Xenopus tropicalis: one gene and its partner. The protein of the gene in region 2 interacts with the protein of the main gene of each other region in a pairwise test. Links are inferred from orthologs where the notes say so. Each region holds a gene or a part of one and is shown on either strand. Other genes may lie near its edges. The genes, in order: c1qbp and ybx1.

Region 1 (4,294 bases), on a different chromosome or scaffold from region 2:
TTAAAACTTGGTGGAATGCTATTGTTTGTGTTGAAAGTAACTGCAATCCTAATAAGACAAAATATATTTTCCAAGCTTAAGTAATTATAACTGATGCTACTTCAATATGTTTACATAGGATTTCACCAGTCTACCCACCATGCTGATTATATTGATGTATTTGGCCATTAAATGGTTAGCTGGTAATCTATAAGCTGTCACTACACTTAATATATTTTCAGACTCCCAGAAAATAAGTCTTAATGGGATAGAGGCACATTCCAGGTTTTAACAGGAATATATAAACCCTAGTGCTGTTATTCTTTTGTAATGTATGTGCCCACCTGCCTCCTCCAGCTCATCCCTTACTAACTTGCATGGCTTGAAGTTAAACATCTTCATGAGTGACAGCACACTTGGGGAAGGGACAATGTTCTGATAGGCTGGAGGACAAATGTTAACATCTTGCCTACGAGAACATCACCTCATCCCCACAATGCAATGTAAACCAAGAAGGAATAGGAGCAACTTGGCCATCCAGGAATATAGTCAACTTGCACCAATAATCACTTATATTTTGACACCCCTCAGTGATTATGCCTTTTCCTTCCAATTTAATTTTCATTCTCATTTGTTACTGCCTATTGCAAAGGTAAAATTAAGAATCATAAATCAGGTATTATGATAATGTTTCCCCTGAATTCCTTGTCTTGTCTTAAAATATTAGTGGACTATACATGAGCATGTATAGCAGATTATTCTGGTTTTGTGCTTAATGTGAATACATTACAATCGTATTCTACTGCACTTATATCTGAGGTCCAATGTTTAATCACTGAAGCAAGAATATGTTTCTTAACAAAATGCCTCTACATCAACCCAGGAAGATGAATTGGGTCAGTAAAAGAACAAGTCAAAATAAGTAGGTTTTTTTTTTTAAAACTCTGTACAGCCCCCAGAACAACATACCTTTCTCTCATCCAAATTTTAGTTTCCCTATTACAGTCAGTTCAACTACAGCATTTTTAATGACCTCCTTGTCTAGGGGGAAGCCCCCTCCCCTTTTTGCTTTCGGAGCACTCCTCTCTCCGACTATGACCTCATGCCTGATTGATTTTATTGTGTGCAGAGGCAGTGAGCATGCCCAGTAAGCACCTCTTTAAGGTCTTCATAGTGGAAGAGAGGAGAGCTTAGAAAGCTAAACAGGGCAGAGCTTCACATTAGACAAGCAAGTCAGTAAAGGAGATGCAGCTGCTTGTAATACAAAAACAAAATCAATTTTCATGGTTAAAACGTGTGTTATTCTGGGGGCTGTTTAGAGTAATTTTAGGGGATTAAAAAAATAAGGCTTACTTAAGAGGACAATATAATTTTTATCTCAAGTGGCAGATTCATCATATCATTTAACTATATGCTAGGATATAGGCAACCATCATTAGTACACTTACTTTTCACCTGATATTTTTCTGACCAGTTTAGCCTCTGTGCCATTGATGTCTAATTCCCACCCACCAGACATTTTGGGAAGGTTCTTATGTTTCTGGATCTTTCTCTCTTCTTTGATTTCATCTTTGAGAAATTCAGCAAATGCCTTGTCACCTACAATAAATATAAAAAATAAATCAACACATTTTAGGGGGGATTTGAAGCTTATTTTTCAAAACTGTGCATCAGCTTTCAGACTTCTAAAGAAACAACTTGATCATGCACACCTATTACACATTCTATACTACTTTTAAGAATTAAGTCTTTATTTTCTTTGAGAAAACGGGACATAGCAAACGTATCCTGCAAATGTAATTTTTTTTTGTAATAAAGTGAATATATTGTACTTGCCGATAACTTATATGTCTATATCTTACATTTTTATTCATGTTATACTGTTTGCAGTATCTTGTTTGGAATGAGCACTAAGGTAGTATATAAAACAGTTTTGGTTCCATTGGGGATGACTTACAACTCTGAAAGTCACACATGCAACATCATTCAGGAATTACACTAATAAATCATTTCACATCTCAACAATGACACAATAAAATATTTGTAATGTGCATATTCCTGCTTTATCTGGTCCCATAGTATTTTAGGATAATTTAATGTAAAATACCATCTAGGCAAAGGAAACACTGACCCGACAATGTAAAAAATATGTCCAAAATATGACACAAAGCCTGCATACTTGAGAAAGCTCTAGTGAAGAATTACTTGATTCAAAACAATTTACAGAAAGGTTATTTTTCATATATAATGAATCTCATATTCATGAAATAAAATGATTTAAAAAACATTTATATTATAATCTGATATCGAAACAAGCATTAAGAAAAACAAGCATTTTCAGTATGTGGATGTAGGCATACAAATGTCTGGGAGGCAGACGCGAAGAACAGACAAAAAATGTACATCCATGTCCCGAAGAGCTCACAGTTTAGTTGTGGAATGGTACCAAAACCCTGCCTTACATAGCGCACTAATGTAAGGGCCAGGAGAGCACTTACCCTCAGTGTGCAGTCCCCCACAGCCACAGGACACGGCCGGGAAGCCACGTTGAGGATGCAGGAAAGTCTGCCTGAGCCCCGGATTCCCCCCGAGCAAACATAATGAGCGTGAGAAGGATCGTCCGGTGCACAAAGAGCTCAGCAGCTGTTGGGGCCGTACGGCCGCTACCCGTGTGGCGGATAAGAGAGCTCGGGACAGTGTGGAGAACATGGTCCTGCAGATACCCACGTGTGTGTGTGACAAGAGGACACCGTGACACCCCTGACCTTTCACCTCCCGAAAAGGAGGCGGAGCACAGGAAGTGTCGTCAAGGTCTCCTTGGCTACACGCAGAGGTCGCTGTTGATTGCTTCTGTCTGTAAGGAATACGTTCGGAAGAGAAACCTTTGTTGTATATAGACGTTGTATTGTAACGCTTGAAATGAGAAATTAGAATCCAGTGGTTTACTGGTCACATAGACTGGCAGCTTGGAGAAACACAATGCTTGTACTTCTGAAGGGTCATATTTATTATAGTTTTGTGTAAGCCAACATTACCGGAGATGTTACCCTGTAGCAACCAATCAGTAGCTAAAGTAGTAGTTAGAGAACAAAAGCAAAGCTCTGATTGGTTGCTAGGGGCAACATCACTGCTGATGTTGGCGTGCATATTCTGCCCCACTGTGTACACCTGAAAACACCTTGGCTGAAAATAAATACAATAAATAGGACTCGAGCTGAAATGGCATTCTGCATATTGTTTCAGTTTAAAAAAAAATAAAAATCTTATTTTTTGCAGTTATAAAGTATGACTTTGAAATTTGGGTTATTTTTACTCAAATAAGCCGCTCTTTTCTTCTAAACATGGTTGTTTGTTCAAAGCTCTCCTTCTACCTGAACAAACAAACAGCTCCCGTCTGTAAGCAGCTGCCTTTGAGGTATATATCCTAATATGGCTCCTGGTTGTAAAGCCAGTGTACATTCCTCTTACTACACTTTACGGACACTTTAGCAAAATATTGGAACAGCACCATGTATTTGTAGATTGTAAGCTCTTTTGGGCAGGGCCCTCTTCACCTGTTGTATCAGTTATTGATTGCTTCATATTTTACTTTGTATCTCCACTGTATAAAACCCACTTATTGTACAGCGCTGCGGAATATGTTGGCGCTTTATAAATAAATGTTAATAATAATAATGTCATTTTTCAAACTAAAATTACTTTTTTTTTTTTAAAAATTGATAAGATAACATAAAAGTGGGCCCTCTGGTTTAGGGGGGGCCTTATGTGCCAGTGAAATCGGGCTGGTTTAAATTTACTGTGGGATTGAAGACCACATTGGCTTGTCACTGTGGCCCTTGCTCTGACGACTTCTAGTCTTTTCATTGTAATTTAATGATATATAATGATAGAATTAGCCCAATATTGCCCACCTTAGTGCAGTGATCTGCAACCTGTGGCTCGTAAGCAACATGTTGCTCACCGACCCCTTTGATGTTGCTCCCAGTGGCCTTAAAGTTTTACTCCAACCAAAGGCTCCTGCAGGCTTTCAGTCCACATGGGGCTACCAAATAGCCAATAGCAGTCCTTATTTGGCATCCCCAAAGAACTTTTTTCATGCTTGTGTGGCTCACCAACACTTTGCATTTGAATGTGGCTCCTGGATAAAAAAAAGTTTGGGGATTCCTGTTATAGTGTATGGCCATCTAAAGTTTAGTTTTGAGGCACTTATGTCACAAGTTTCTGAAGAAAAAGTGGTGAACAACACCACAGTGTGCAAAGTGTAATTTTAGCACAATCACCAAGCAGCCTTTTTTCTCCCTAATTTCCAGGTAGA
Region 2 (4,401 bases):
AAAAAATGTATATATTTCAAAGAAATTAAACTATAATGTACTGCTGCCCTGCACTGGTAAAAGTTGTGTGTTTGCTTCAGAAACATTACTAGAGTTTATATAAACCCTGGTGTGTAGCCATGGGGGCAGCCATTCAAAAGAAGAAAAGGCACAGGTTATATAGCAGCTAACAGATAAATCCTGTAGAATACAATGGTGTCTTATCTGTTATCGGCTATGTGCCTGTGCCTTTTCTCCAGCTTGAATGGCTGCCCCCATGGCTACACAGAAGCTTATTTATATAAACTATAGTAGTGTTTCTGAAGCAAACACCCCAGTTTTACCAGCGCAGGGCCACAGTACATTATATTTCAATTACTTTAAAACACTTTCATTTTTTGGTGTTACTGTTCCTTTAATAGACCAGTAATCAGTCAGTGTTGAACCATGAATTGTCAGCTCATACATCATTATTGATCTGACCTAACCAGTCAGAAAGACTAATTCATATTATTTAATTCTCATTTGCTTTTGTGGAGTTTTATTAAAATTATATGAGATAGATTTTAATGTGTCTTAAACTATCACATTTATATTAGTATTTGCGATGTGCATGCTGTTATTGCAGCTATGGAGCATACTGCAAGTTAGGCTGTGCAAGTGTACTGCTGATGTGACTATTCCCGCTATTATTAAAGCCCATTTATAAAACACTAATATACTCTGCTGTGTAATGTATTTGGGAAAATATAAGCAATAAGGCAGAAATTACACCATTGCGAAGAAACAAACAGAAATCAAGACATGAGGTCGGGGGGGCCTGCCCGTTAGACAATCCGAGGATTAGGAAATAAGCAATACGCCATACTTCCATAAAACCTTGGATTTGGACTCAGCGCCATAACAATAGACAGAGTCCGTTGCCTAAGCACAACCCCTTATATGAGTGATCTGGTATCATTACCTTCAGCTCATAAGGGCTGATGTGCCGGGAAACAGCTGAACTAAACACAAGTCAAATATTGAGGTACCTGCCCAATAGTTTATTGCATTTATCCTACCCCCCACACCTTACACTTTATTGATCACTGTTTATATCAGCCTTAGAGCTCAACAGCTACATCCCATCCAATAATGCAGACGCTAGAGGCAGAGACTAATCCCTCCAATCCTGTTATTGACATCTGCCTTAGCCAATAAGATTACAGAAGGAACACATCCAAACAGAGCGCGTCGATTCTTGATTGACAAGCCATTCGACCATACAACTGCAGAGTTTTTTACTAAACCCGTAGACTGACAAGCCAATTGACCAATAGGATAATAGCCAGGGCGGGATGTCTGCGATGATTAACCCGTCTGTAAGGCCATTGCCAGGCAGTTCGATCGGTAGCGGGAGCGGAGAGCGGACAGCAGGGAGCTCGAAAGGCAGCAGCCCCACCGCCGGCCTGAGTTACCATCAACACCCCGGGGGGAAGTTAAAGCGAGCCAACCGCCGGCCCGAGTCACCACCTCCGAAAGCAGCCAACTTACACCATCAAAGACACAATGAGCAGCGAGGTTGAAACACAACAGCAGCAGACAGTCGCATTGGAGGGCAAGGCCGGCCAGGAACCGGCGGCCACCGTGGGGGAGAAGAAGGTCATCGGTAAGTACGATTGAATTAGCATACGAGAGATGCCTCTCGGACACAGGCAGGGCTGGGTATTTGGCGCGTCAGGCTCAATATGACTACTACTCCCAGCATCCCCTGTGCAGTCACGTTGGTTAAGGCGATTACTAGATATTTGCACAAACAGGCGCGGTTATCTGTTTATTTATAGTGTGAGGGAGCGGTTTTCGCTTTTACTATAGGGCGCGGGTGAGTGGCGGTTACACCGACGTGGAGTGTCGTGCCACGCGGAGTTGTTGGTGACGGATCTCTGCCCCCCCCGGCGCCGTGACATCACCCCCCCCCCCGCAGCGCCGTGACATCATCCCTTCCTGTGTCCTGAGAGGAATAGGGCCTGTAACATGTCCGCCGCCGCCTGCGGCCTACACCCCCCCCACCTCCTCTTTTGTATGCCGCCGCGCCTTTGCTGGGTCCCCAGTAGCGCCTCTGGCCTCACGTTTGCTTTGCAAACATACGGGGGAGTGTGAGGGCCGTGATGGCGCTGGGAATTGGCGGCTCCGTGTGTCCCGGCTGCTCGGGTTGCGGCTCTGGCCCGGCTCCAGCCACGTGGTGTGTGAGTAGTTGTGGCACGGAGCTGCTCGTACCGCCTGGGCCTGAGCGGGAGGGGCATGAGAGCCATTTTAGTCTATCTTTGCACTCGGCTTGCTTAGTAGCAGCCTTTATAGCGCTTGGCAATAAACGGGGATTCTGGGAGTTGTAGTTTTTCATTTGAAAAAAAGAATTGACAACACTCTTATGGCCCCAAATAGCAATGTTTGTTTGCTGATGCCTTTAATTGTAATTCCGTGTGTTTATATAGCAGTGAGTGGGAATGCACACAACCAGTTGCATTACTTTCCCTCAGGAAATGTTGCTACCAGGGCCATGGGATAGGGCTTTGTTTTTGTTCCTCTTCCCCCATCCACCCCCATCCATCCTACTCAATGTAATTACTGTATAGCTGTGCCTGGCCCAGTAGCCATTGAAGTTGTATGTCCAGATAGCCATTAAACTAGCAGTGTTTATGTATTGCTTTGGCTTGTATCTCACTGGCTGCTGATCAATAAGTTGCATGTAACTAGTATTTATAATTTCTAATTATTTTTTTTTGTAAAAGTTAGCTTTCCAAACCACCACCCACCCCCTGTGTTTATGGTGCTACTGTGCTGCCAGAAAGTGATTGCTCTATTGTGCATATTAGATTGATCTTGTGCCTCACTCCAAACTAACGATTTTTTATTTTCTTTCAGCAACCAAGGTTTTGGGTACGGTCAAATGGTTTAATGTGCGCAATGGTTACGGCTTCATTAACAGGTGAGTTCATATTTCTGCCCCAACTTAGATTAGTAATTTGGTAAACTTGTTACAGCCTGCCTGACCCTTCGGGGCCATGCACGTGGTACTTCCCATAAATGCTTGTTTTAATATGGTTTAGCAAGTATATATTCCAGGATATGCGGTTAAGCAATACCAGAAGTTACTTAAATTACTTAACACTTGGGGAAGGCATAGTTTAAAAATGTTTTTATAGAGATGGGGAGCTGCTGTATTGCTTGCTTCCTAAGTAGCACTGCCTACCGGTTTCAGCGCTGTACTTCTATGAATGCCTGTGCCAAGAAAATGATCTTTGCCTGTCGCTGTTGTAGAAATTCAGATACACAACAAAAACAGTAATTGCACCCAGTAGCCAGGGCTGGCATGCTTTAATTCAGCTTTCCCTTATCCTTTCGACTGTATCTTAAGATTTTTCTGCTTTTTGAAAGGAAATGTACTTTTTTCACATAAACCAAATAAATCGGTTTGTTAAAAACAATTATATAAGATGGCTTCTTTCCTAAAATGTCAGAAATGAGCTATATGATGTGGGCTTTATGGAGAAAAAAAGGATGCTGGTTGAAATATATTTTCATTTGCCCATTCTTTGTCTAAAGGCAATGCTTTGTGGTTGGTAGAAAAAATGCCTTTCCAGCATTATTCCTATTTTTGTGCTTATGTTGCCTTTAGTGTTTGACCTATACATATAAATTAATTTGCACAGTACAAGCCTTTAATCTATTTTTGTTTTGTTTAGCTTTGTTGTGCTGTGAAAATTTCTACCTTTTGTCGTTAACATTTTGTTTTTATCCTTATAGGAATGACACCAAGGAAGATGTGTTTGTACACCAAGTAAGTATTCCACTTATCTGGGTTTTTTTTACAGATGTCTAGTCCAATCTAGTATAGAAAATGTATTCTATAACTTCTAATATGGTAACTTGTATTTGAGTATAGTGTTGATCAAAGCGGATTGCCTTGGTGTAATAAAAGAATGCATACTGAATAGAAAGTCATGACTGTTCCACAGTTGGATAGGACATTTTCCTACACCTTTTTATATTGCCATGGAACTAGATAGAGCAAAAGCAGATTTAATCAGTTTTCAGCATTTGTTCAGATTTCTTTTAATGTCTTTTTATTTAAAAAAAAAAATATATTTTTTTTAGACTGCCATCAAGAAGAATAACCCTAGGAAGTACCTTCGCAGTGTGGGAGATGGTGAAACTGTTGAGTTTGATGTAGTGGAGGGTGAAAAGGTAAGACTATCAAAAGGGTACGAGGATACGTTTTACACAAGCTACAAGTGTATATTTTTAGTCTTCAACATTTCTGAACTATATAACCTATACCAGAAATAGCATAATATTTTATACTGCCACTTGATCATATTAAATCATTGAAACTTGGTCATTTTGGTTACCATTTCTACATCCCTATGTCTGTTTTTAGTCTGT

Evidence for each region.
Region 1: the proteins of ybx1 (region 2) and c1qbp interact in binary tests that used the Homo sapiens proteins (3 or more experiments, as listed by UniProt). The link is inferred for Xenopus tropicalis from reciprocal best matches to the Homo sapiens genes YBX1 and C1QBP.

Annotation. Positions count from the first base shown.
Region 1 is NC_030678.2:105,098,234-105,102,527, forward strand, and holds the start of c1qbp (complement component 1 Q subcomponent-binding protein, mitochondrial), read right to left. Parts: upstream 2,814-4,294; 5' UTR 2,689-2,813; coding exon 2,478-2,688; intron 1,579-2,477; coding exon 1,428-1,578; intron 49-1,427; coding exon 1-48.
Region 2 is NC_030683.2:94,733,775-94,738,175, reverse strand, and holds the start of ybx1 (nuclease-sensitive element-binding protein 1), read left to right. Parts: upstream 1-1,372; 5' UTR 1,373-1,527; coding exon 1,528-1,627; intron 1,628-2,880; coding exon 2,881-2,944; intron 2,945-3,762; coding exon 3,763-3,796; intron 3,797-4,113; coding exon 4,114-4,203; intron 4,204-4,401. UniProt on the Homo sapiens protein: DNA- and RNA-binding protein involved in various processes, such as translational repression, RNA stabilization, mRNA splicing, DNA repair and transcription regulation.